Linked DNA regions of Caenorhabditis elegans. The protein of the gene in region 2 interacts with the protein of the main gene of each other region in a pairwise test. Each region holds a gene or a part of one and is shown on either strand. Other genes may lie near its edges.

The links. The genes of interacting proteins can lie anywhere in the genome.
Region 1: the proteins of prde-1 (region 2) and set-16 interact in a two-hybrid assay, tested with the Caenorhabditis elegans proteins (one large-scale study listed by BioGRID).
Region 3: the proteins of prde-1 (region 2) and gei-17 interact in a two-hybrid assay, tested with the Caenorhabditis elegans proteins (one large-scale study listed by BioGRID).

What each region holds. Positions count from the first base shown.
Region 1 is NC_003281.10:13,640,620-13,648,358, reverse strand, and holds the start of set-16 (PHD-type domain-containing protein), read right to left. Parts: upstream 4,444-7,739; 5' UTR 4,379-4,443; coding exon 4,373-4,378; intron 4,321-4,372; coding exon 4,219-4,320; intron 4,164-4,218; coding exon 4,087-4,163; intron 4,025-4,086; coding exon 3,584-4,024; intron 2,567-3,583; coding exon 1,921-2,566; intron 1,716-1,920; coding exon 1,602-1,715; intron 1,147-1,601; coding exon 806-1,146; intron 503-805; coding exon 249-502; intron 1-248. Other genes in the region: drr-2 (RRM domain-containing protein), read left to right, coding at 4,821-4,841, 4,893-4,976, 5,020-5,218, 5,275-5,594; T12D8.10 (BolA family protein), read left to right, coding at 6,032-6,094, 6,144-6,241, 6,396-6,531; acbp-5 (Acyl-CoA-binding domain-containing protein 6), read left to right, coding at 6,671-6,869, 6,923-7,131, 7,516-7,677.
Region 2 is NC_003283.11:15,535,156-15,542,746, reverse strand, and holds the start of prde-1 (piRNA biogenesis factor prde-1), read right to left. Parts: upstream 4,504-7,591; 5' UTR 4,490-4,503; coding exon 4,310-4,489; intron 4,240-4,309; coding exon 3,874-4,239; intron 2,881-3,873; coding exon 2,540-2,880; intron 1,427-2,539; coding exon 1,303-1,426; intron 1,253-1,302; coding exon 1,136-1,252; intron 417-1,135; coding exon 77-416; intron 1-76. Other genes in the region: F21A3.4 (Trichohyalin-like), read right to left, coding at 4,761-5,045, 5,098-5,250, 5,746-5,976, 6,031-6,081. UniProt on the Caenorhabditis elegans protein: Nuclear factor required for the production of piwi-interacting RNA (piRNA) precursors. Specifically required for piRNAs produced from loci associated with the Ruby motif. Promotes binding of the transcription factor snpc-4 at piRNA genomic clusters.
Region 3 is NC_003279.8:9,100,140-9,110,925, forward strand, and holds gei-17 (E3 SUMO-protein ligase gei-17), read right to left. Parts: upstream 7,444-10,786; 5' UTR 7,401-7,443; coding exon 7,329-7,400; intron 7,204-7,328; coding exon 7,168-7,203; intron 7,086-7,167; coding exon 6,972-7,085; intron 6,893-6,971; coding exon 6,863-6,892; exon of another isoform or gene 6,849-6,862; intron 6,559-6,848; exon of another isoform or gene 6,461-6,558; intron 6,181-6,460; exon of another isoform or gene 5,968-6,180; intron 5,922-5,967; coding exon 5,556-5,921; intron 4,886-5,555; coding exon 4,760-4,885; intron 4,704-4,759; coding exon 4,609-4,703; intron 4,564-4,608; coding exon 4,467-4,563; intron 4,383-4,466; coding exon 3,910-4,382; intron 3,174-3,909; coding exon 2,860-3,173; intron 2,759-2,859; coding exon 2,502-2,758; intron 2,264-2,501; coding exon 2,126-2,263; intron 1,865-2,125; coding exon 1,699-1,864; intron 1,534-1,698; coding exon of another isoform or gene 1,391-1,533; exon of another isoform or gene 1,184-1,390; intron 1,095-1,183; coding exon 1,036-1,094; 3' UTR 707-1,035; downstream 1-706. Other genes in the region: nduf-7 (putative NADH dehydrogenase [ubiquinone] iron-sulfur protein 7, mitochondrial), read right to left, coding at 8,299-8,376, 9,268-9,483, 9,772-9,971, 10,363-10,468. UniProt on the Caenorhabditis elegans protein: Functions as an E3-type smo-1 ligase. Mediates smo-1 conjugation to air-2 in vitro and is required for proper chromosome alignment.

The sequences.
Region 1 (7,739 bases), on a different chromosome or scaffold from region 2:
TGAATTATTCATAAATTTTCTAAATTTGACTTTTTCAGCCAATTTTCAGATTTTAGAGTCATGGAATCGCCAATTTCAGACAAATTGGGGCAGTTTTTCACCAGTTTCAAAATTTTTCATCACATTTCTGTCAAATTTAATCCACAAATTTGGACAAAATAAGCTGATTTCAAACAAAATTTCGAATCGTCTTCCAGCCGATTTTCAGACAAATGTCAGCGGAATTTCCACCAATTATTCCTACTCACAATGATCGAATGATTCTCGATAACCAACAGATTCCATCATATGATTCTTCAAAGCGGACGGTGTGTATTTCGACTTCAAAATCTCATGAGCATCTTTATCAAGTGCCACGTAGTCGCACCATACAGTATCTACGTCAGAGAATCCACTCGGTTGAACTCTTTTCGGACGGCACGCCGAGCATCTCATACGATCGATTGCTGCTTGCTCGAGCTGTTCGTCTGTGTAGAGACCTTCACAGGCACCATGTTGCCATCTGAAAATGTTTAAGAATAATTACAATTTTTGTTTGGTTTTTTAAAAAAATATTTCATTGTTTTTTATTAAGAAAAATCTAAATTTTTCACAAAAATTCACAGAAATTCATAAAAAAATTTAATTCGTTCGAGATTTTCAAAAATAAAATTTTTAAAATTAGCAACTGAATAAAAATTCCTTTTTTAGACAATTATTCGACAATTTCGGACAATTTTGATGTATTTGACTTCAAACTTCAAATTTTCGTTCAAAACTGAGATAAAAATCTGTTTTTCTGGATTTTCATGAAAAAATCACGAACTTGCTGCACTGGCTACACCGAATCAGCTTCTCGTTTAATTGATAATTCCGTTCACATCTCGGGCATTTGCGGAGTGAAGCACACGGGAAACACAGTCCTTGCGACGTTAAATCATTGCCAGACGCTGCTTTATGATTGCATCTCCGGCATCTTGAACACCACTGACACCTCCACGGTCCTTGGGGAATCTTGTCTAGTAGGGGTTTCATGCAGTAAATGTGATACGAGACATCACACTCATCACAGAGTAGCAGATTCGCCTCGTCGCCTCCGGTTCCACATCCCTCGCAAACTGTACAGTCAAGGCATCGCCAACCACGTCCGACTACTGCTGAGTTGAGCTGCACAAATTGAGAAATTAGCGACTAGATTTAAAACACCTCAACATTTTGGTTATTTTAATATTTATTCCTGCTTTTCATAAATTTCTTACTCTGAATGTATCTTGTCAGTTGGAAAATCGATCAAATTTGAATTTTACAAAATTGGCTTGAAAATTAGACTTTTACGATTTTTTTCCATAGTTTCAGAAAATTGTTTTTTTTTTGCATCAAATTGGTTGCATAATATCAGATACTATGAAAAAAAAGATTTTACTAGTGAACTATTGACACTATGACAGACACTTTGAAAAAAAATGTTTACTCTAAATTTTTTAATCCGGGATTTCGAAAAAGAAATTAAATCAAATTTATAGAAAAAAAAATCAGATTTGAGAATGCCTCGAAACTGAAAAAAGTTTTTTTTAAGTGAAAACTCTATTTTCCGTCTAGAAATTGGGATTCCGCCTGCCTACCTTATCATGTAGGGTTACACAATACGTGTGATACGTCTGTGCACAATTTGAGCATGCCACCATCGATCCTTCGGGCCCTTTTCCAATCGATCCGCATACTAAGCACATACAAGCCTGAAAAACCGGGAATTCGTTGATTTTTTGAGCTTAGCAGTCAATTTTTGGAAAACTTTCCGACAAAACCTTCTTTCAAAAAAAATAATCTAAATTTCAAATTTTCAAAGATATTAAAATTATATTCTCAATATTCATCACAAAAAATAATTTTTATAGTTTTTCCAGCTAAATTTCCTTTATGACACTCATATTTCAATCTTACCTTTTGCAAAAACTCGTCATTGACTCTGCAAACAATAGCCGTACGAATATACTCTGGCTCATCAGATCTTGAGCCGCCAGACTGCCGTGAGCTTTCATCCTCGAGCATCAGCTCGTCGACTTCTCGAATTGCGACCGCCTGTGGGGCCTGCTGGAAACTCGGAACAATTGAGGGCAGCGGATCGGGAAGAGGGGTCTGAAGGGCAGGAGGAGCAGGAGGAGCAGTTGGAGCAACATTTTGATAGGTAACACTGGGTGGAAGAGTAGGAGCAACAGTGGGTTGGGTTGGGTGAAGCTGTGGGGCACCATTGAACATTGGGGCTCCCTGAGCACCGTATTGCACCTGTTGAAGCTGGGCGAGCTGAGCAATGGCGGCTGCACTACCGCGCCCACGGCCACGTCCACGACCCGGTCCCTTGCCAGGCTGACGTGGCACCGACGTGCCGTTTCCTCGTTTTCCCCTCTTTCCACGTGTCGATGATGTTTGTTGCGGTTGGTGAAGGTGGGAGAAATCACCACTCATCGCCTGAAGCTGTGTGGCGGAAAAGAAGCCCGACGGGCCGGGATTCGTTTGTCGACGAGTACCAGTGGATCCTCCGCGGCCTGGTTTTTTCTTGGCGCCTCCACCACGTCCACGTCCGCGAGTGCTGGAAAATATTAATTTTCCAAAAGTTTAATTTAACAAAAGTGTTTTTATAAATACCTTATTTCTTCTATTAATATGGCTGCAATATTTTTCGAAGGTCTCCCCGCTTGCAATACTATTAGGAAGTGCCATACTAATTTTCAGAACATTTTTCTGAGTTGGGACTTTCTAGTTTTTACATGAAAGAATTCCAATTTTATTTGGAAATTTAGAAAATTTGATTGTAATTGCAATAAAAAAGGTTCAATAATTCCAATTTCATAGAACTTTGTCAAAAATTATTGCAAAATAAACATAAAATATAGTTGAAATCTTAAAATTAGTGAGGCCAATTTGCAGGACAAAAGTATATGCAAGACTATTGGGGAGTGCAATACTAATTTTCAGAGGGGGTATGAAGTGCAACACTAATAGGGAGTGCAAGTCTGATACGGAGGTCATACTAATAAGAGAAATACGGTATGTATCGATAAATTTTTCTGAAGTTCAGAATTTTTCTAATTTACTAGGTTAAAAACTACTTTTTAAAAAATTATTTGTGCCAAACTACCAGAAAACTATATTTGTGACCCAAAAAACAAAGAACACCAGCGAAAATTTGAAATTTACAGTAATATATTTCTCGTCGTGGCGAGACCCAAGTAAAAGTGTGCTTCCCTTGAGGAGGCCCCACGAAAAGGGGAGCAAAACGAAAAGGAGAGATATGAAAAGGAGAGCAACGAAAAGGGGATCTGGCACTGTGCCAAACGCTATTTTTCTCGAAGGAAACGATACAACGATGCTCCGATGTTACGTGTGTTGTTAAGCGTATCTTCTATAAGAAAATTTCAAAAATCAACGTGCGTTGAATGAGAAAAAGGCGTTTTGTGCGTTTGGCACAGTGCCAGCTCCCCTTTTCGTTCTGCTCCCCTTTTAGTGGGGCATCCTTTCCTTCAAGGTATTACGGTGTTCCTTTAAGGCTTTAATTCGATTTTCAAACGAATTTTCGTATTTCACGGAATTTTAATCTACGGCATACCTAGCAGGCACGAAATCCTCATCGTAGTCGGAAGCCTCTTGATAAAATGGACTACTATTCCGATCGCTGTCATTCGTACCACCACCATCGCTAATTTCATCCATAAGCTGTGCCTGTGTGGCCAACATCTGCTGAACTTGATTTTGCTGCTGCTGCTGACGTTGTTGCTGCATGGCGGCTATTTGGGTGTACACATCCCCGTTGAAATCCTGACTTCTAGGATAACTGGACGGCAGAGGTGCCGGTTGCATTTGTAGTGAAATCTGGGGAACTGAGGGGTCGCTGAATGGAGAAAGAGGTGCGTCTTGTCCGCGAGAAGGGCGTGCGGAGGCTGAAAGCATCACGTCGTCCGGCAGCATTTGGCTTCGCCGACGACAGGATATGCAGACGAAATTGTTCAGGCTTGAGACGTCGGAAGAGTCGCAGGAGAGATGGTAGCTTCTGGAAAGCAAAAAAAATGTATTTTAATCCGGTGAAAAACAATTGAAAATTCAAAATCTCACTTCCGACAAGTTGTGCACTGCCTCGAATCTGCAGTTATCATTCTTTGGCACGATCCACAGCTGGACGACATGTCACACTGCAAATTTTCTGATTTTAGAAAAAAAAATAGTGGAAAATCGAAAATTTCCTACCTGACGGGCCATATCCAACGACATCGTGCCAGAACGGTTAACATCCATGCAGTTTTCACATAGTTCCGTGTTGTTGAACGCGGTACCGCCACATTCGATGCACTGGAATTTTAATTTTGATGTATAGTTAAAATTTTGAACGGTGAACACTTACAATCATCTTTTGGACTTCATATAGTCGGCTTTCTCGATTTTTGAAGCTTCAATCGATACGAATTTGACTCTAAAATAATTATTATGAGTTATTCCACTGAAAATGAGATAAAAATCGTTCAAACTGCCGCCCATTCTCCTCTAACGGCTGTTGAAAAGGGCGTATCGATTTGTTTGGCATCTTGCCAAGCGTTACATGTCTGCGTCTCTACGCGCTGCGTAGAGCCCCTTGCCATGTTAACGGGGCGGCTACGCATCTCTGCCGCACTGCGTCTCTCTGGCACTGTGCCAATACACCGAATGCCACGCGAGATTGCGGACTGAGAGTTGGAAAAAAATTAAATAAATAATTTGATTTGCAAATATGTATTTTCGAGCTTTCGTGTGTGCGTTTTTAAAGACTTAAATGAATTTCAGAAGACGTCTCACTTGGGGAAGCTTTTCAAGCAATGGCCGATGAGATTTTTAAGGTTAGTGGGTACTTCAAAGCAATGGCATTTTAAATATATCGAATTTTACAGGCATTCATCGGTGGGCTCCCCTATGACTCCATCGCCACTGACATCGAAACTATATTAAAGCACTGCAAGTTCACAGATGAAGAGGTACTGCGGAAAAGCAGGAAATTTCTAATAAATGTTTTTTCAGCTCAAAAAGTTCGATATTCATCTTGTGCACGACAGAGATTCTGGAAGTTTCAAGGGATTCGCATATGTCACTTTTGAGAATGAACAACAGATGAATACTGCTATCAGTGGCCTTAATGGAGCCGATTTCGGAAATCGCGTACTCAAGGTTAATCGTGCCCAACAGCGCGATCGCAGTGACCGCGGAGGTGGTCGTGGAGGTATTTCAGTTATTATTTTATTTTTCTCCGCTCATTTTAACAATAATTTTGCTCAGGACGCGGAGGAAACTTCGGAGATCGCGGAGGACGTGGTCGTGGAGCAGGAGGCTTCCGGCGTGGCGGTGAAGGTGGCCGCTTCAACGAAGGAGAGCGTCGTGGCGGATTTGGCGGCGGAGGACATCGCGGTGGATACCGACAACGTCGCGAGAGCGAAGAACAACACAAAGCCGAGGAAACTTCAGATCCATCAGCTCCGCCAGCAGAACGTCCACGTCTCAACCTGAAGCCCCGTACCACAGATGCCGCTGAGATCGAGGCTCGCAAGAAGCAAGAAGAAGAGGAGACCAAGAGACGCCAGGAGAAGCTTTTCCAATAAACTTTTTTTCGATTTTTCCCTGAATTTCGATCCGCGAATGACACGAAATCCTGCAATCATAGGAGCCTATCCCCTAATTTGTCCCCTCGTCACTTTCCGTCAAGTTCCGCTGGTATAACCATTTCTTCAACCCCTTCTGAATGTCTAATGATCACAAATTACCTCAGAATCCTTTCACATAAAAAGTTTGTTTGTTGTTAAACCCCAAAAAGTCCCAAAAGCATATATTTTCCCCCACCTACTTGTTGTTCTGTTGATTTTACTAGTTATTCCTTTATTTTTCTTTATAGAAATACACTAAAAACATGCGAAATATATGAATAATCAATAAAAAAATATTTTTATACTTTTTTTTTCAAAATCTGGTTTTTGTGTGGTTTTCTCCAATTTTCGTTTCTGCTCAATTTTCAGTTCCTAAATTAAATTTTAATCGACAGATGGCATCACCAGTGGAAAGAGTCAATGCGCTACTCACAGAAGCCATCAAGCCGCAGATTTTGGTGAGTTTTATTGATGTTGTTCATTAAAAAAACCGAAAATTTCTTCCAGAAAGTCGTCGACGAGAGCGGAGGCTGCGATGGATACAAATTTCGGCTTCTCATCGTCTCTGAGGCGTTTGAGGGCAAGTGTACGCTGCAATCTCACCGGTAAGCCTGAAAATGCTGAAAGCTTAGGGTGGATCCACGTACGTGGAAATTAATTTAAACGGAAGAATTTAAAGGAAGTCACAGTCAAGCTGAGCTGGTTTTCCCAACGATTGCACTAAAGTAATGTAAATATAAACTTATTCCAATTTTACAGATTGGTCCAAGCTGCTCTTGCTCCAATCATGGACGAAACTCACGCGCTCACCATCTGCGCCTACACACCTGAAAGATGGTCCCAAATGACGACGGAAGACCGTCAAAATGCCGGTTGCCAGGATTTGGTGGACTAATTTGCTGTACTTTTTAAATGAATGATTCTATTTAATTATTCGCTTTGTTTTTGAATTAAAGTTGGTTATTTTTAATCGAAAAGGCCAGGTCATATTTCTTTGTTTCCGACTGAAATCAGTAGTTACACAAAGTTTCCAGATGATTATTGCATGGGCAGTCTCTTCATTCCAGGACCATCCAAAAAATGAAAATCAAGAAGAAGAACCCATCGATACGCTGCTTGAGGCGAAATTCGACGCGGCGACGACAAGGTTGCCGGGGTTTCTGACAAAAATCGATCAGAAAACTATATTAAAATTCTATGGACTCTACAAGCAGGCTGTAGAAGGTCCAGCAGGTATTTAAAATGGACGATTTTGAAGCTGAGAAACTAAAAGAACACAATTTCAGACTCGAAAAAAGGTCCCTACTGGTTCGAAACGGTCGCGCGCAAAAAGTTCAACTCGTGGCTAGCGAATAGTCAGATGAGCCGGTCGAGAGCTATGGAAGCGTATTGTGAGCTCATGGCTCAGCTTGACACGTCTTGGGATCCGGATGCAGAGACGGTGAAGAAAAGTGGACTGTGGGAGAAGATGCCCAGCACAATGGGTGTTATCGAGGTGAAAAGGATAAAAAATTATTAATCCCCACTTAATCATGCTTTTTTAAATGTATATTTTAAATTTTTTTATGTAGAATAGTACTGAAAACTTGAAAATTGAGCCTCTACGTCTATATTTGGTATCAAAACTACCGTAATGACTTAAAGGAGGGCGACCTCCCGAGACGAGGGGTCTCGCAGCGAGTGGGAACGAATTACTGTAGTTTTTTTAAATGGTTTTTGAAGCTTTTTCCTACTTTTCCCACCAGATTAGAAACCGTTTTAACAAGGCAAACTTACGAAAGATGCAAAAAATTCAAAAAAAAAATTAAAGTTGAGTCTGTGAAATAATAAAACACGTAAAGTTGTTACTAAATACCGTACCCCTCTTATCATTTTTCAGCCAGAAATGTTCGACGACGCTGTGGTGCACCCGCCAACGAAACTGGAAACCGAAACCGAAAAGAAATGGTTCGCGGCGATGCGCGTGAGCGATATCGACACTATGCGCACACTTTTGAGAAATGAACCCGAGATTATTGAGGCCAAGGATCAATATTTGGCGGTAAATAATTTGAAAAAAATTGATTTTAATTTTTCTTCTTGTAATTTACACCGTAAAAGCTA
Region 2 (7,591 bases):
TTCCGGCAATTTGTTGGAAAAAATCGTTTGCCGCTCATATGAAGCCGACTTTTTGAAAATTCTGTAACTTGTATACCTTCAACCACGAAATCTTTCAAATCTTTCACTTCATCCTTCAATTCCATTTTCGGATCATCCTTCTTTTTAGGCTTTCTTCCTCTTCTTTTCTTCCCTACAACAGCTGCTGCTGCTTCTTCTTCTGGATCTTTCTTCTTATCAATAGGTTCCTCTTTAGCTTCTTCTTCTGGCATCAAATACTCAACAATTGCCGCCTGATTCTTTGCCATTTCCGTTTCTGTGTGATTTTTCATCACTGTATAATGTTCGCGAGTCGCTTGTAGACGTTCCCATTCTTCCGAAATTTCGAGAGATCTCTGGTGTTTTTCGTAGGCTTCGAACATTTTCGATGTTTCTGGCTGAAATTAATTATTATTTTAGAAGAAAATTTTGAAAAAAAAACTGAATTTGCAGGTGGGTATCCAAAAATAGCCCAAAACTACTGTATTTCGTAAAAGGGCGTTTTGAACATTTTTCAGACTTTGTAAAAAAATATTTTCAGCTAAAATCTCAATTTTTGTTTTTTTTTCAATTTTTTTTTACTAAAAATTATATTTTTGTGAAAAATTCAATTTTAAACAAAAAACTCGATTTTTTCAATTTTTTCCACTTAAATTTTTTTTAACGAACATTGTTATTCTTCAATAAATACCAATATTTTTTACGAAAAATTCAATTTTTCCACTAAAAATTACATTTTCCATGAAAATTTTTTTTTTGTTAACGATTCAATTTTCCCACAGAAAACTTGTTTTTTTTTCAAATATTTCACTAAAAAGTAAATTTTCCAACAAAAAAAAAATTTATTTTTCCGATGACAAATAATTTTTTTTTCATAAAAAATTCAATTTTTTTTACAAAAAGTTCAATTTTATATGAAAAACTCAATTTTTCATGAATAATTGGACATTTTCACGGAAAGTTTTTTTTCTCAATTTTTCAACAAAAAAAATTACATTTTTGTGAAAAATTCAATTTTAAACGAAAAAAAACTATTTTTTTCTCTCAAAAAATCCATTTTTGGCAATTCTCGCTAATTTGGCCAATTTTCCGCAAAAAATTGAATCCCAAATCGTACCGTATTCTCCAGTTTCCGGTCCCAATCGAGCATTACATCCCGCCAATGAAGAGCCCAAGCCGGTCGTCCGCTGCACACAATTTTGTAGAAATCGTCAATGATTCCACGATAATTCACCTGAAAAATACGAAATTTTAGCTCAAAAATTCCAGAAAATATCGATTTACAGTCGAAATTTGTGCTCCAGCACGTGGACCCTTTGGACACCATGCTCCACCACGAACCGGCAGTTTTTCAAGCTTTTCTTGCTCTTCTTTTGCCACTTTCAGATGTTTTGCAAAGTTTCGGAGTCTGAAAATTGACATTTTTACCGTTAAAAAAAAACTGCTAAAATGGAAAATGCTGCAGGAAAATTCAATTTTTCGGAAAAATTGCTTAAAATCTAAATATTTCAGGTAATCATTTACTATATATAAAGCGCTTATTCCGTTTGTCCATAGTTTGTAGTCTATGTAGTCTTTGTATTCTGTGACGTTTTGGCTTCTGGAGGATAGTGAGTTGGGCTTAGTGTAGGGATATAGTCGGGGTACTGTAGTGGTACAATAGTGGTACGGTAGGAGTACTGTATGATTACGGTAGTTTCAGAAAAATTAGTTTTCAGCCCCAGAAGTCGGGGGCTGCGCCGAAGGTGCGGTCCACGGCTGGTTTACAATAAATTTTTATTTTTTTAAGTGAAAAATTGCTTTTAAAAAAAGTGATTTTTTATGTAAATTGCAAGAAAAATATTTTTTAGAAGAACAAATGCTGAAAATCTGGATTTTTGGGTGAATTTCTAAAAAAATTGATTTTTCGTGAAAAAAAAAAGGGTGAATTAGTTTTTTTCCATAAAAAAATGCTGAAAATTGAAACCTTTCGGGTTATTTTGAAGAAAATTGTATTCTTTTTTTGTGAAAAATCGCTGAAAATCGGGGTTTTTTGGGTGAATTTTCATAAAAATTAGATTTTTTTTCGATGAAAAATAGCTGAAAATCGGGGCTTTTCGGGATAATTTCAGGAAAATATTTTATTTTTTGAGTGAAAAAAATTAGAAGACGATTTTTTATAAAAATTGCAAGAAAAATGATTTTTAGTATTTAGGAAAAATGCTAAAATTCTGGATTTTTGGGATAATTATTTGTTTTGTGTTTAGGTGAAAATTGCTATCAATCGAGATTTTTTGTGTAAATTGCAAGAAATCTACTTTTTTCTACTTTTTTTGGTGAAAAATCACTGAAAATTTGAATTTTTTGAATAATTAGCAAGAAAATGATTTTTTAAATGAAAAATAGCTAAAAATCGTGATTTTTTAAAAATGTAATTAGCAAAAATCATTCTTAAAGGAAGAAAAATCACTGAAAATCCCGATTTTTTGGATGAATTTCCATGAAAATCTCATTTTTTTGCTAAATTTTCCAAAATCCATACGCGATATCGAACCAAACATCAACATCAATTTGCTGCTCGACTTTATTCGTTTCTTCCGGCTCTTTTTGCAAATTTTCAATGAACAATTCCTTCATTTCCATAATTCTTTCTCTGGATTTCGACGATTTCCACGGCAATTTTCCATGTGTCCAATCGTAGAGCACATAGAGCATCATTTCCATCATATCCAATTCAGTCATTCGATGAGATTGATCTCGATCGACAAAAGAGCGCGGCGCGTAGATCAAATCTCCGGTTTTCCAATGCAAATCTATAGATTCGGCTGTTCTGAGATGAATCTCGTCGATGGCACGGTGACGTTTGTCAGAGGAGACGGTGATCTGCAAATTTTTGGAATTTTAGTATGAGAAAAATCGATTTTTAACGAGAATCTGGGGTTTTAAATGCATAAATTGTTTATTTTAAGAGTCTGAAACCGAAATTTCTTCCAAGAAATCAAAAATTTGATTAATAAAAAAATAAAATCGAAAAAATAAACTCGAATTTCGACTGAAAATTGCGATTTTTAGTTTTTTTCAGTAGAAATTGTTTTTTTTTGACGAAGTATATGTTTTTAATAATTTTTCTAAAGAAACTCGCTGTTTTGCGGAGTTTTTGAAACCAACAATGTTGATTTTCAGACGATTCTGGGACTTTTATTCATTTTTCCCAAAAATTTCAAATTTTTATGGGGTTATTCAAGTAATGTAGCAAAATGTATTTAAATACATTTGTGACGTCACAAATGTATTTAAATACATGTTTTTATCTACTTGAATAAGGTTGTGACGTAATTTTTCTACACTTTTTAATTTTCCGACACTACTTGAATAACCCCATTAGGTAAAAATTGCTGGAAATTGAGATTTTTCGGGCAAATTTCAAGAAAAATAACTGAAAATTGGTTTTTTGTGGATTTACCGAGAAAATACGTTTTTTATGTGAAAACATTGCTAAAAATCACAGATTTTTGTATAATACGAAGAAAATACGCTTTTTCGGTGAAAATTGCTGAAAATTTAGATTTTTCGGGCGAATTTCAGGAAAATTACTGAAAATCGGGGTTTCTTGTTGTATAAATCCAAAAAATTAAGTTTTTTATGTGAAAACATTGCTAAAAATCGGCGATTTTTGTACAATTCCAAGAAAATACGCTTTTCAGGTGAAAAAATGCTGGAAATCGAGATTTTTTAGGTGAATTTTTAAGAAAATTGGTTTTTTCGTGTAATTCCGAAAAAATGCGTTTTCTAGGTGAAAAGTTGCTGAAAATCGCGATTTTTCTTGCAATTTTTTAGTGGAAATTGTTATTTTAAAAGCGGAAACATAGTCCGTACATCAGTAGCATCGGCCAAATAAAACTGCCTCGTTTTGATATCCAACATCCATTGTTTCGAGTCGAAATTTCTCAAAACCCATCCGGAAGCTGACAGAATTTCGATAGCAGAAATCATGTCGACAGCGAGGAAACTGGCAGTAGTTACGGACATTTTATCACTGCTCAGACATTTTAAAAGATCATGTAAAGTGGGTCCTGCACGGATTCTGACGACCATGAAGAAGACGTGATTATTTATGATTCCGGCATCAATTAAAGCGGAAAATCGATGAGAATAGCCAAGTGACGATTGCTGATGATAGAAATCTACTTGATTCGCGATGGTTGTCACGTTGTCCTCGCCGATTTCCAAGTAAAGAATCCCCTGAAAATTCGAATAATAATTTTTTTTTTACTTTTTTTTTTTTTAAATTTAATTTTTTTTAATAACTCACAAATTTCTTGCACGGCTTGTCACACACAAGATAACAATACGCGGCTCCTCGTTTCTCCTTTTTCTCCAAAATAATCCATTTACCATTAAAAAGCTTTTGCTCCTTCAGACCTGCCAAGTCCTCATCGGTGAATCGATGCTCAATGTTTTCTAAATCGTGTCCTTTGCGATTTCTGTTCATTTTTTACCTGAAAAGTTGATAAACTCACAAGAAAAATGGTGAAAAACAAGTAAATTTAGGCAGGAAAAACGAAAATTTAAATATTTAAATTTAAAATTCGCTGCCATCGAGAAAAGCGCAAGCAACACGAGAAACGCGCTAGCAGTGGTAGCTGACGCAACTTTCGTTATTGACGATTAATTTCAAAAACATGTTTTAAAACAATTAAAAATGATTTATTTTGAGGAAAAAACACACAAAAAAAATGCTTTTGAAGAAAAAAACATAAAAATTAAGAGCTTTCCTCGGTCAAACTGGAGAAAGAAGCCACCAAATTGGCGTTTTCATCTAAAATCTGCCGTTTCTTCCCAGTTTTCTTCAACAACATTTCAAGCTCTTCCAGCATCTTCTTCTGCTCCTGCTCCATTCGTTTCTCCTCTTCAACACGTTCGCCAAGCGATTTGCGTTGCTCTTTGAGCATTTCCACAACTTTTTCGATTTCAGCGCTTTTATCATTCCAATATTCGCATTTCTCCTCCTCTCTGTCACAATCCAGCTTCAAATCTTTGAGTTGTTGCTGAAAATGTTTCAATATTGCTTTAAACATTTTCAGATTTATTAATAAAAACCTTGTGCAAGTGGCGACGATAGTCGATTTCCTCCCGCATTCTCTGAACAATCACTCGCTTTTCCGCGAGTAAATCCAGACTTTCTTGAATTTCAGCAGAAAGTGTCGCGGATATTTCCATCGTTGTGCCCATCTTAGCCTTTTTCAGCTTCACCTGAACAAAAAATTGCATATAATATTAGTTTTCGCCATATCTTACGCGCATGGTCTCGTCACGCGGACAAAAGGTTACTTTTCATTGTGATAATTCACGGGTCGCTATTACAAAAACACTAAATGCTGAGAATGCGTATTATGCAACATATCTGACGGGCAAAGTATCTCGTAGCGAAAACTACAGTAATTCTTTAAATGACTACTGTAGCACGGATGTCGATTTACGGGCTTTTTTTTATTTTCGGAAACATTTCTCGGAAAATTCGGAAGTTTTTTTTGATTTTCAGAATCGGACCAGCGCTACAGTAGTCATTTAACGAATTACTGTAGTTTTCGCTACGGGATATTTTGCGCGTCAGATACGTTGCGCAATACCCATTCTCAAAATTTAGTGGTTCTTTTTATAGGTTAGTGCCCGTAAATCGACACGAGTTACAGTACCTCGTTCACAGCGTGGTGAGACCCACATAATTTTTTGACGACTATGTAATACCTCATTCATCATCTCCGACAAATGCTGAGCCCAGGCGGTGACGCGACACGAGATGTCCGATTCGCGACGTCTCGCCTTATCCACGCGATCCCAAAGTTCGGTGACCTGCGACTGAACGACATCGATCCGATTGCTCAGTTGCAGCTTCTTCTCCATTTCCAGCTCGAGCTTGTGCTCCAGAAGGCGACAACATTCGTCGACATCGTGCTCGTATTCGGCGACCGATTCGCTCTGAAAAAAAATCACTTGAACTTTTTCCGAATAGAAATTTCGCGCGGAACCCACCGTAATCGACGTTGTCAGGGTCAACTTCTCGCGAATCACTTTGATATCCATTTATCGATTGATTTTTCGGAGAAAAATATTCGGAAATAAATTCAAATGTCGAATAGGTTCCACATTTGCCACGAGAAATTTGAATTCTATGGAATATTTTAAAATCAAAATTTTGAATGTTCACGCTGGTAATTAATTGATTTAATAAAAGTATAAAACTTGATTTTCAAGCTCTCTGATCCGTGTACTCCCCGAGGAGAAGTTTTTTTTTGGAAAAATTCTGGCTCTGCTCCTATGAGTCATGCCTCTCATCCGAAAAAAATTCGACAAAATAAACCGACATTAGTACCACGTCATTGACTTCGTTCTTGAGTTGGCTCATTTTAAGGAGCATTTGAAAGAAATCGTCCTCAATTTTGGGGCGATGTGTGGCCGCGACAAGGGATAACTCGGCCACGTGCATTTTTTCGAATTTCAAATTCCCAAGATGTTCAAATTCTCACTATATTGACGAAAGATCCTTCTGTACTTTTCTGAAAAAAAAAATCTTCAACCTGTCTAGACTGACTAACCGGATTATGTTTTGACCTCTTACAATTTGGAATTAATCCTGATATACTATATGAAGGTTATAGTAAAATTGATACTGGGGGAAGCCATGAGGGATTAATTAGAAACGTGTAAAAAGTTATTTTTTAAGTTTGTGCTCTGTGAGCTCTCAGTGGAAGGGCTTCTCTTTTGACCGATGACCTAGAAACCTCGGCCACCAATTGTGTCCTGTGTCGATTTACGCGACTCGTGTACTCCTCGAGTAAAAAAGGATTTGCAGTTTTTCGGATTTATTTAAAAAATTTGAAAAACCATTTAAAAAATAATTTTATATTCAACTTTTCTTTCACATTAAAATAAACACGAAAAAACTAAATATTACTCTGACGCAAAATTATGCAATTTTCAGGAAAAATACGGTGCCCGGTCTCGACCCGACAAATGTTGTTGCTAAATGCAAAAAGATGTGCGCCTTTAAAGAGTACTGTAGTTTCAAACTTTTTTTTATTGAATTTTCATATTTTTTGACAGAAACAGATTTAATAAAACAATAAAAAATAGAGAATTTTTAACTAATAGTGAGAGAATACGTACTTAGAAAAAAACACTAAAAATTCAGCACCTACAAGAATTTGAAATTACAGTACTCTTTAAAGGCGCACACATGACACAAAATTTTGTCGTGTTGAGATCGGGGCACAAAAATCGCAAAATTTCGCGCATGTATAATAGAAGAAAATACGTATTTTTCATTCAAACTTATTTCTGAATAACAAACTTCACAAGTCGCCAATTTCTCGTAACTTCCGATTCGAAAACTGACACTTTCGATTATGAAAAAAGCATCAAATTGCTCACACACACATGTGCTCATTTGCTCATTTCCCTTTTACTCACCTCTCTCTCTGCACTCTCTCACTCCTCAACACTATTTCTCGAAGCTTTACAAGTTTCAATGCCTTCTTCGTCTTCTTCTTCTTCGTCACTTTTTCTCCTAGACAACGCAAATGAAATCTGTGCA
Region 3 (10,786 bases), on a different chromosome or scaffold from region 2:
TATTTGTAATTCATTCCGGAGTTCGCAGAATTTTACTATTTTGAAAATATTTTTGTGCAATTTCCGACCCAGAAATACGGTACGCGGTCTGCCCGTGTTCAAGGATTACTGTAGTCTCTCGCTCCACATGTTTTTCTCGTTTACTTGAATTTCCCCCATTTTCCTCACGTTTCGCCCTGTTGTCGAAGTGGAGTGCAACACTACAGTACTCTTTAAAGGTCTTCCCCGTGCATCTCATTTGGTATGCCGATCGTGTCGAGACCGTTTACCGTAATTTTGCATTAGAGCGTTGTTTTATTTCGAAATTTTTGTGATTCAAGACATAAAACTTCCTCTCCGACATTCCACGTATTGCTCCTCTTCTTTTTTTTTAAATTTATCTCTGCAAACGTGCTCAATTGTTAATTTTCGATGGAGCCCGTATGCATAAAGACAAAAATCCAAAAAATTTTGATATTTTCATGTTCTGAAGAAAAAAACATAAAATGCGGGTATTCTTCTCTCATTTTTTATTTGTTTTTATTTTTCCTATATTTATTTTATTTTTCATTCTTTCATTTTTGTCTCTCTCTCTTGTGATTTCTCCCTGTATTTTTCCCCCTAGTCTTCTCACTGATTCGGTAGTTTTTTCTCTCAAAAATGTTCCCATTTCGCCACCCCGGTCTAATTATTATAATTGATTATTTGTTCTTTAAAACAAATATGTATAAATAAATCGATTCATTGGAGAACAAATGCATCCATTTAAATGGAAAAAAATATGGTATCAGGAAAGCCGCATGGCCTAGATTCTTACAATTTCTAGGCCACTTGTGCATTTTCACGGCTGTGGAAAAACATCGGATGAAATGGATGGAAAACTAGAAACACGATTTGGGGGCTCGATTTGAAAATTAAAACATATTGAACAAAAATCACGGAGAGAAATGTGAGATATTTGATTGGGTCGGTTGAAGTTCCGAACATTAAATTAAAGCCAAATTAACTCAAAAAAAAAACAAAAGAATGAGATTAAGCAGTATGATTGGAAATCAATCAATTCTGACGATACTGCTGCTGCGGGTATTGTGGAGGATAATATGCAAATGCACCACCTGAAACTTTGAATATTGAAAATCTAATTTTTAAATAAAAATCTAAAATTAGTGGATTGTGTTTTTCAATTGTATTTAAAAGATTGCATACAGGATACTCAGCTTCATTTAACAAAAACATTACCGTCACAAAATTCTAGTTAAAGTTCATCGAATCAGCCGTATAATGCAGACAAATATAACTTACTAGACTAAAGCACAAGCAGGATTCTGTTAAAAATTGTAAATCGTGGATATGGGTAAAAGATGCACATAAATCAAATGAACTAGACGGCACAAAAAATACAATTCATGCATTAATTCCGTGAGCCACGTGGATTGCGCATAGTGACTCCTGAGTGATCGATCATCAGGTGTCCATTTACCAAAAGTCGAGATGCATTTGCTTGTATTTCAGCCATGGAAAGAATTCGTGGTGGTTGGATGTTATTGGTGTCACCTGAAAGTGAGGCCAAACCAAGTAAGGGAAATAAATATATATTTGCATGCAGGATGGTTGCAATTACACAACAAGTTTACTCGCTATTAACTGAAGATCGTGAAGTGATTGTTTTGATGTTTAAACATAATATACAAAAACTTTGTAAGGTGTACAAAAAATTACCGTTTGACATTTGCTGTTGAGCATAAAAAGACGGAGACATGATTTGTGGTGACTGCTGCTGCTGTTGTTGCTGCTGAAGATGGTGCTGCTGCATATGAACCATTTGATTGTTTCGCCCTATGAGCCCGTTTTGCATTTGGAAGTGTGGTGCCTGGTTTATCATTGGCTGAAAACGAGAGTTCAATTTTTAAAAAATTTTGAAAAATATTTGTTAAGTTTATAATTCCAGACGTAAAACTAGTGCATTTTTTTCAATTCGACAGAATTCTAGTGCAGTGGACAATCATCTAAGTATCTTATCCAATTAATAGGGGCTTGAACAAAGAAAAAAAAGAGATTAAAACAGGATTTTTTTGTTCTGTCGTTATGAAAAAATATCACTAGAGTATTAGTGCGTGTGGTAGACTATTAACACGTGCTGGCATACCGAATATCCGTATTGTGATGTAGGTGTTTGAGATCCTGAAGAGGGATTCATATAAGATGATTGAGCAAAATTCAATGGATGTGTCGTATGGTGAAGTTGAACAAGCGGAGATGATTGTGTTGATGAATTTGCTGACTGCTGCAACAAACAGACAGTTTAGTGAGTGTGGACAGGGAGAAGCAGATGTTAGTTTAACAATATCATATAATAATATAATCAAATATATAATTCAATCTTTGTATTAGTTTTGGTTAAAAACGGATAAGTTATAACTAGAATACTGATTTCAGTCAAATTAAGAACAAATCCTCTTAAAACTATGGAAAATAACTAACAATATTGGCTCTTTTGAAGATTTGTGTTTTTCTGAACTTACTTCTCCTATTTTGTTCAGCGCATCCCGGATAGTTTTACTTGCACCCTCGTTCATTCCCATTTGCGTTGAGGCCATTCCAGATGGAGATGAGCCAACTGGCATTTGATTCTGTTGAGACATCTGACGCATTGGAAGATTTGCACTTGCAGCTACTGGACGAGGTGGTGTATCATCGAGAGTAATAATCTCTATGTCATCGTCTTTCGTCTTCTTTTTCTGCTGTGGTGGTGTCTTTTGAGCAGCCAATTCTGCGGAAGCTGAAATAAGATTTGAATTTCAAGTGAATACTTTTAATTGATATTGCTAGAAACTGCAATATTCTCAGCTTGTCTCACACCACGCCATTTGAATAGCAAACCTGTGTGTCTGCCAGGAGAGAAGCTGTCGTTCAGAGAGTTCATTATACCTCTGTTCAATTCCTCATCATCGTCATCACTCAAGGTAATTATGTCGTCGTCAGCTGGTTTTTTCTTCGCTGCTTCATTTGCAAGTCCATTGCCATTTGTCGAAGAGCATGACGCTGTACCGTTAACAGTAGCAGGTACAACGTCATCGTCGTCATCATCTGAGATGCAAAAAGCTTCTTCCTTGATAACATCGTACGAGCCATCTTCCTTAAGTTCAACTTCCGTCGTATTCTTATCCACCTTTGCAAGCATATCGAGGAAATAACTGAAAGATGAAACAATATTTGCATAGTCTCAGAACATTGCTTTTTATTTTGATATTTGAATATTTCTTAAATAAAATGTTGAATTGGGTAACGTCTAAGCAGTTTCTCAGGCATTTCCGTGACTAAAAAGTATTTTCCAATTAAGAAAACGAGCGAATAGTGCGAACAGACAGCTTCACACAAAACTGCATGAAGTTAGCCATCGAATTTGTTGTTTGTCCATGATGCACTGTTCACAATATGAATCTGGATCATGGTAAACATAAGAGTGAGAACACTATTTGGATTATTAATTGATTGAGAATTATTTACAGGGATTTTGAATTTCTGAATAATAATAATTTTCAATTACACATTAAAACTCTTGCTCAATTATGATGATTGACCTTTGCCATTTGTTTCATGTTCTCTTACGTCATGAGCTGAATTTTGAGTTGGAGACCAATACGAACTACTGATAATAATCGTAGACTATATTTGCAAATACATGCCTATTTTAGACGACGCGTTTCCGAATTTCCTAATCACCGTTTCATCATGGCTATTTTAAGGGTGTTGTCCATCGCTATAGATAACAATTGTGTTTGGAAAAATAATAGTGTCTTCACAAGAATTGGAAATTTCGAAGTGAGGGAACGGTATCTAAGAGTTAATAGAAAAATAATGAAAACATAGAATTGAGATAATTCGCTTTTTTTTAAAATCAAAGTTAGTCAGTGTGAATTGAAAACTTACTCATCAACAATAAGTCTATCATATGGGCAGTTACTCGAGCAAACAGGGCACTGCCACGTTGGTTTCTTCTCGTTCATCATCAAATATGAGAGGAGATCAAAACATTGCAAATGGGTACAATCTTGGCATCTAGAAGGCGTTGTCATTCTTGTCTTGCACAGTGGATCAAGAAGACTGATATTAAGACGATCCATAGCAATATCATCTTCACCTCCAGACAGTTTCTTGATCACTTCTTGCTTGGTAACCTCAAGTGATCGATGTCTTGATACATTCTGATTAAGACGTTTAAAGAGAATATCCGAGTTAACACGATGAACGAAATAAACTCCAGCTGCCCATACACGTTTGTCGGCTAACCATTCGACTGCAACTGTGTGCTCTTTCTTGTATCTATTCATGTTTGAAGTGATATTCACTGGACGAGATGGTCGTTTCGGCTCAGCATTTGTCTTATTTGTTGGGATTACATTCTGAAATTTGAAGAAATAGTAACTCCTAACAATAATTGATATTTTGAAATTAAATATATTTCGTGAACGTTTCAAATCTCATACCGGCAATTGAACGACAGAATCATCAACACGTGCGTAGCAATTGAGTGGAAAGTCGTCTTTTTGAGGACCCTGAACTGGTTCAGTAAGATTGAAGAACCTGAAAACAAGGATTTAAACCGATTTCAATGATAATAAAACGTACCTCAACTGCAATTCATATCGTGGAAGAGGTGTAACATCAGCTCGATACGAAATCTTGGAGATGTGCTCAGCAGTCAATAAGAACGGGAATTGTAACTGAAATTAGTAATTAATAGGTAACCGGCTTGGAGAGCGAGTAAATTGAGACCAACCTGTTTTGTTTGCTTCAAAGTTGGACTGTCTGATGAATGCAGCTCGACAGGCTTCAGCAAAACAGAAATAACATCGTAGAATGGAAGTGGAAGCGGTTCAAAATTATCAGCATACATTTTTTTCGGCTGAAAAAAAAATACATGGGTTAGACATGTGGGAATGTAAGAAAGAGACGCTGAAAGCAATTTTCAGGTGATAACATTGAACTCGTGTGAGCGAACTGTATAACACATGCCGCGCAATTTCTAATGATGCCTGCTTTTTGGTAGTAAAAAAACACTTTTACATGCTACTACGAACTAATTGGAAATAAAACTATTTGAAAATTGAGCACGGCAATATGAAGAAATGCCTAGAGAGGATTATCATATTAAGCTTTTCTTCATGAACATGCTCCTAAGAATGCCATACTGTAATATCTTAAAACCACACTTGTTCTAGTTTTTACGCCATTCGGAATCATGCAGAAAATTTCGTGATAACAGCGTGCAAATCTTGGAGCTTCGAATTTTTCTTTCTTTTTTTTGAATGCTACACGCAATTCAAAAAAGTGCATTCAATAAACGGTAGGACATTTGTTTGCATAATGTATCACGATTGAGGAATTTTCAAATAACCGCGACTGGCCAATATGATATATGTGCCCAGAAGAAGCTACCAGTGTAATTTTTTCAGGTAAATTTTCCGTTACGGTCATAAACCGAAAGTATATCTTCACATGCTTTCCGCCTCGATATTCTTGCGTTCATTCTTATCGTGAATTTCAGGCAATAAAAATGCGGCGAAAATGTTCACCCTATTTGATTTTTCCGACTTCTGCAAACTTTGCTGAGAAGAACGTCCATGATTAGGAAAAGATGAATGGAGCGGCGCGTTGGTAGCAGCAGCAGCAGCGGGAGCGCCGTATCTCATCGAGCCCCTCAGTTGCTCTTCGAGCAGTTCAGGAGTTAGCCATCTCACCGTCGACGGATGGTGCTGCTGTTGCAGATGTGAATGATGTGACGCCATCATTTGTTGATGAAGTAGATTGTGAGGCTGTGGTTGTTGTTGTTGTTGCTGCTGATAATGATGATTGACCAAGTGATTACTAGCTCCAGATCGAGATGGCAGCACATATGGATGAGACCGAACTTGGGATGTTGTTGCAGGTCGCTTCTGCATCTGACATTTTTTAATTTAGTTATTAAAACAGAAACGATTTACAAACAATTTTTTAGGCTCTAACTTTAAATATGTGGAATATTTTAGACAATTAGAACATTTGCAAAAATACATTTGGGAATAAAAAACAAAGCGGAAGAGATTTTTTGAACGTTTGTTTCTCAATAGAGCGCACATGTCATCAGGAGAGGTGCTTGCGAAGAAATGATATATATTGATAAACCTAGCCGTTTTTTTGGAGTTTTGATAACAGGACTTTCTTAAAATTTAGTAAAATTTCAATAATAAGCCAACTAAAAATTCGATTGATTTAAATAGTTACGCGCATTCGAATCAACTGTTGTGAAATAACAACAAAAAAAAAAACGATTCCCAGTTTCTCACGAGCGACATCGTGCCAATTCGCTTCCATATCGATTTTTCAAAGTGAAACAATTATTAAAAAACTCAAATACCTCTTTAGGAGTGAAAATTTGAATTTGATTTTCAAAAAAGTGTGACAGTATTCAAAAGAATCAATCTAGTAAAATAAAAATTGTAATGAAAAACTACGCGCCAAGCTACACGTATGAAACATGGAAAGAAGGTCAGGGCAAAGTACAACTAAGAAATTTTCGAAGATCCACTGCTTTTGAGGTTTTTAACACCTTATTACGGGCGAAAGTCCCGTTGCCGGAGCTGCGAGGAAGCAAGTGCAGAATGGATGAAATATTTGAGGAAACTTAGAGAAACAAAGGGCTACATATATGGTGGGTATGAGGATGCTAGTGGAGATAAATGCGAGACTTATTGTGTGAGTAAAGAGACAATACTAGGTGAATGAATAATTTCCTCCGAGGTAGAACACTGGTAAACGTTACCCAAAGTACCTCACACATCTATTTAATCAAAGTTGACATAGTTTTTTTTTAACTGAAAGTATTTAACTTTTTCATACTTACCTCATAATTTCCGTTCGGGAAATTGGAAGCCTGTAAACTCGAGAAAATTAATGCTGTAAAACATCATTTAAAAAAAAACATAAATAAAATAACGAGAAAAACAAATGACCATTTGATAAATTTGCCGAGCATGATGAGGATCACGCAAGGATTCAACGACGACCTTCTGATGCTCCGATTTTTGTGGACGTGGCTTTCGAAGTGACAATTGCGAGATAATCGACTGAAATTCATAAATTCTTGATTCACATCGCCTTCTCGTTGAGGTATTGAACAATAAAGATTGATTAAAAACGGTATCTAACCTGAAGATCGTGTACTCTCAATTTCATGACGGCTGCCTGAAAATTTGGAATCCATCAGTTTTACTTTTTGAAAAATAACAGATTGGAACAGAAAAATCCTTGGGTAAAATACAAGAATTTTAAACTATTTAATAAATGTCAATAATTTTCCAATAACTCACGTGTGCTGCCATATTTTCCTGATGTGTTAATCCATTGTTTATAGGTATTTGCCATTGATTATTCGGTAACATATTGATTTCAATACCTCCGATCCTCCGCTGTGTCTCGAAACGACGGAAAAATATAAAACTGCAGATTCGGAAAAGGGATATTAAGGCGAATTTGAATGGTCCAGTAGTGAAAATATCACAAACAAAAAGTAGAAAAATGTGATCTTTTCTATTCCCTAAAAAGCGTTTCGAAAAGCGCGGTTCCGTGTGGATTTCCCAATTTTGGAAGTTAATGGACCAAAATCGCGCAAAAAACACGGGCACACCTGATGAATCAGTTTTGCAAAATCCTGCAAAAAATATTTCAACGTACTCACGTTAACTCATTCAGGAAATCAATGAGATCAATGTGTACGATAGGTTTGTGCCCGTGACAAAGGATCAGCAATTTTCAGAAGAGGCGCCAGAAAATTTGTGTTTTTGAATTTGCGCAATACAATTTTCAATCCACACAGACTTTTTTTGTATTATTTTCAATCCAAAAACCAAATCCAAAAAAAAAAACTTGGCGGCGCTATAAAGTGCGTCGTGATCTCCTTTCAAATCACTATATAAAAATTCACAGACTTTGTGAAAATATGAATAAATAAATAAAAAGAGAACCACAAAGGGTCGGCGTTGTTAACCGTTCCAAAGAAAATGAGAGAAAAAAATAGAACTTTAAAAAAATGTTATCGACTTTTTTTCAACCAAAAAAAACATGAGGTAAAAATAGACACTATTCGAAAAAAAAAGTAAACCGCAGAAAAAAACGAACGAAACTATCGATATCAGATCTAGAAAAAAGAAAATGGAGAAAAGGTGGAGAAACACAAAAAATGAATGAAGTGGGGCTTACTCGTACAAAATGACCATTTTTCTGCGAATTTTTTCACAGTTCTCCAACTTTCTCGTACTTTCTTTTCGCCTCGTGTTCTGTTTAGCGTCTGTACCAAAGTTGAGCTTCTCGCTTACGCTTGATCTTCTTTTGAAGTTGGAGAACTCCGTATAGAAGAGCCTGGAATAATTTTTTATATTAAAATTATTTTCTTTATTAGACGAAACATATTTTCAGAAAAGACTGCAGGCTAGGAATATTTTTAAAGCTATTCAGATAATTTCACTAATTTAAAATGTATTAGAAATTCGCTGATACAGTCAGAATGTGATAAAGTATTTCGAAGAGCTAAAGATTTAAACAAAACACCAAGTTGTTGTTGCATTAGATACGGCAAAATATTCATTAGTGAATGCTTGAGAAACTAAGCAGAAATAGAGAAATAAAGACTCAATGGTATGCAAGAGAGCGTAGACAACACAAGACTTTCGCGCCAATTCGATCAATAATTGAGTACACATGCACCCACGTATTTTCGAAATATTTACAATCGGTCGTGGAGCGCGATTACATCATGCCGTCCTTAGCCCACCATTCTTAAATTGGGAAATTTTTTTCAAAAATCTTTTTCGGAAAAACCCGAAAAAAACAGTTTTGATAATGATGGGGTGTCGAGATTATAGTGAGGTACATATTATGACGTCATAGAATTATTAAAATTCATTTTTGAACATAGCAACACGCTTTTCTTGGAATATTTTCAGACATTAACTGAAACAAATTGTTACTCAATTAATGGAAAATGAGCCTGCACGAGATCTGGACACTCATTATCCTTAATTGAGCAGTCAGATTTTGAGTGCGTTTTTTGTGTAACAGGTGGACCAAATAAATATGGATAATGAGAGAAAATGAATTAGCTGTGGTGTGCTGATACGATAACGTGAGATCTAATACTGACATCAAGCCAGCCACTAAACAAACTCTAGACTCTCCAAAAAAGATTCAAAACTCAAGGTATTTTTGAAAATGAGGCAAACTTAAAAGCGATCATAAAAATTCGACACATACCTCAGCAGTTGGTGGGCATCCTGGTACATAAATGTCCACTGGAATCACACGATCACATCCACGAAGTACAGAATATGCGTAATGATAATATCCTCCTCCGTTTGCACATGATCCCATTGAAATAACCCATTTTGCTTCTGGCATTTGATCATATATGCGGCGAAGTGCAGGTGCCATTTTGTTGGTTACTGTACCGGCAACGAAAATCAAATCGGCCTGAAATATTTTGATAAATAGATAGAATAAATTTTGAAAACGCATACACTGAGAGACTGAAAACTAAATTTTGTCATGACAACGATATCATTTTTTTTCTTGTTGACCAGAGAATGATGCTATGGAGTTGATATTTAGGGGTGCGAGTTTTGAGAAATAATTGCCAAATTAATTCTAGAACTTGGAAAATATGAATTTTAAGACTACATTTTGTTGTTGATGGGAAAATTTCAACTCAAAAATTTAATTTTACACAATTTTTATTTCAAAATGATCAGTATAGCTAACCTGTCTGGGAGAGGCTCTGAAAACGACTCCGTACCGATCCATATCATATCTTGGCGCAGCGAAGTGCATCATTTCGACAGCACAACATGCGAGACCGAACGTCAGTGGCCAAATTGAACCTCTTTGAGCCAAATTCAGGACATCATCAAGACGAGCCAACGCGTACTCGGCTTTAGACGATGGATTCAGGAATGGAGTTCCTGAAATTACAAAATGATTTCAATTAAATAAAATAAAAGACATTCTGAGCTTAGAAGAATTTTGATCCGATGAAAGAGGGATTCCTAAAAATTTAATTAATTTTAGTTTTCCCGCATTTTTAAAAAATATTTTTTCTTGGTGTACTATGAAATACACAATAAAAATTAAACTTTTTCCCAATCAACAATGGTAATTCAAAATTTTTTTCTTGATCAAGAGACAATCTTGGTGTTATGAATGAATCATAACTCTCAAGAATAAACAATTTTTAAAGAAACAAAAGTTTGGATAATTTTGTGTCATGAACTGGCCTGGCATTCCGATTAATTTCCGAATTATAAAACAGTTTTCAATAATTTTTTAAAGAGATTATTTGAAATTTTAGTTTACCTGTGGTGGCAATACCCTTTGGTGCCTCGCTGTTACTGGCGATCGCTTGAGTCGAAGCAAGACGGCGAGTACCGACTGCCCCGGCAGTTCGAAGTGCCGAAAGCATCTGAAAAATATCAAAATTTGAATTATCATTTCATAGACTTTGAAAATAAGATAGACGTTAAGATGATACCTTTTAATAGTGTGGATCATAATTCTAGCAAACAATTTTGTAGATAAATTAGTATAGGGGTGAAACTAGAAAAAGCGGGAGGAAAACGAATCACATGATGGTGATGAACCGAGGAAAAACTAGTTTCGAAACGGGCAAAAAGGCGAGGTGACCAGAAAATCAATAAATTGAAGGACATACACCCAAACGAACGATCATAGTGAAAAAGGAGACGACGGGTGAGAAACGAAGAGTCCTTCGGCCCGGCGG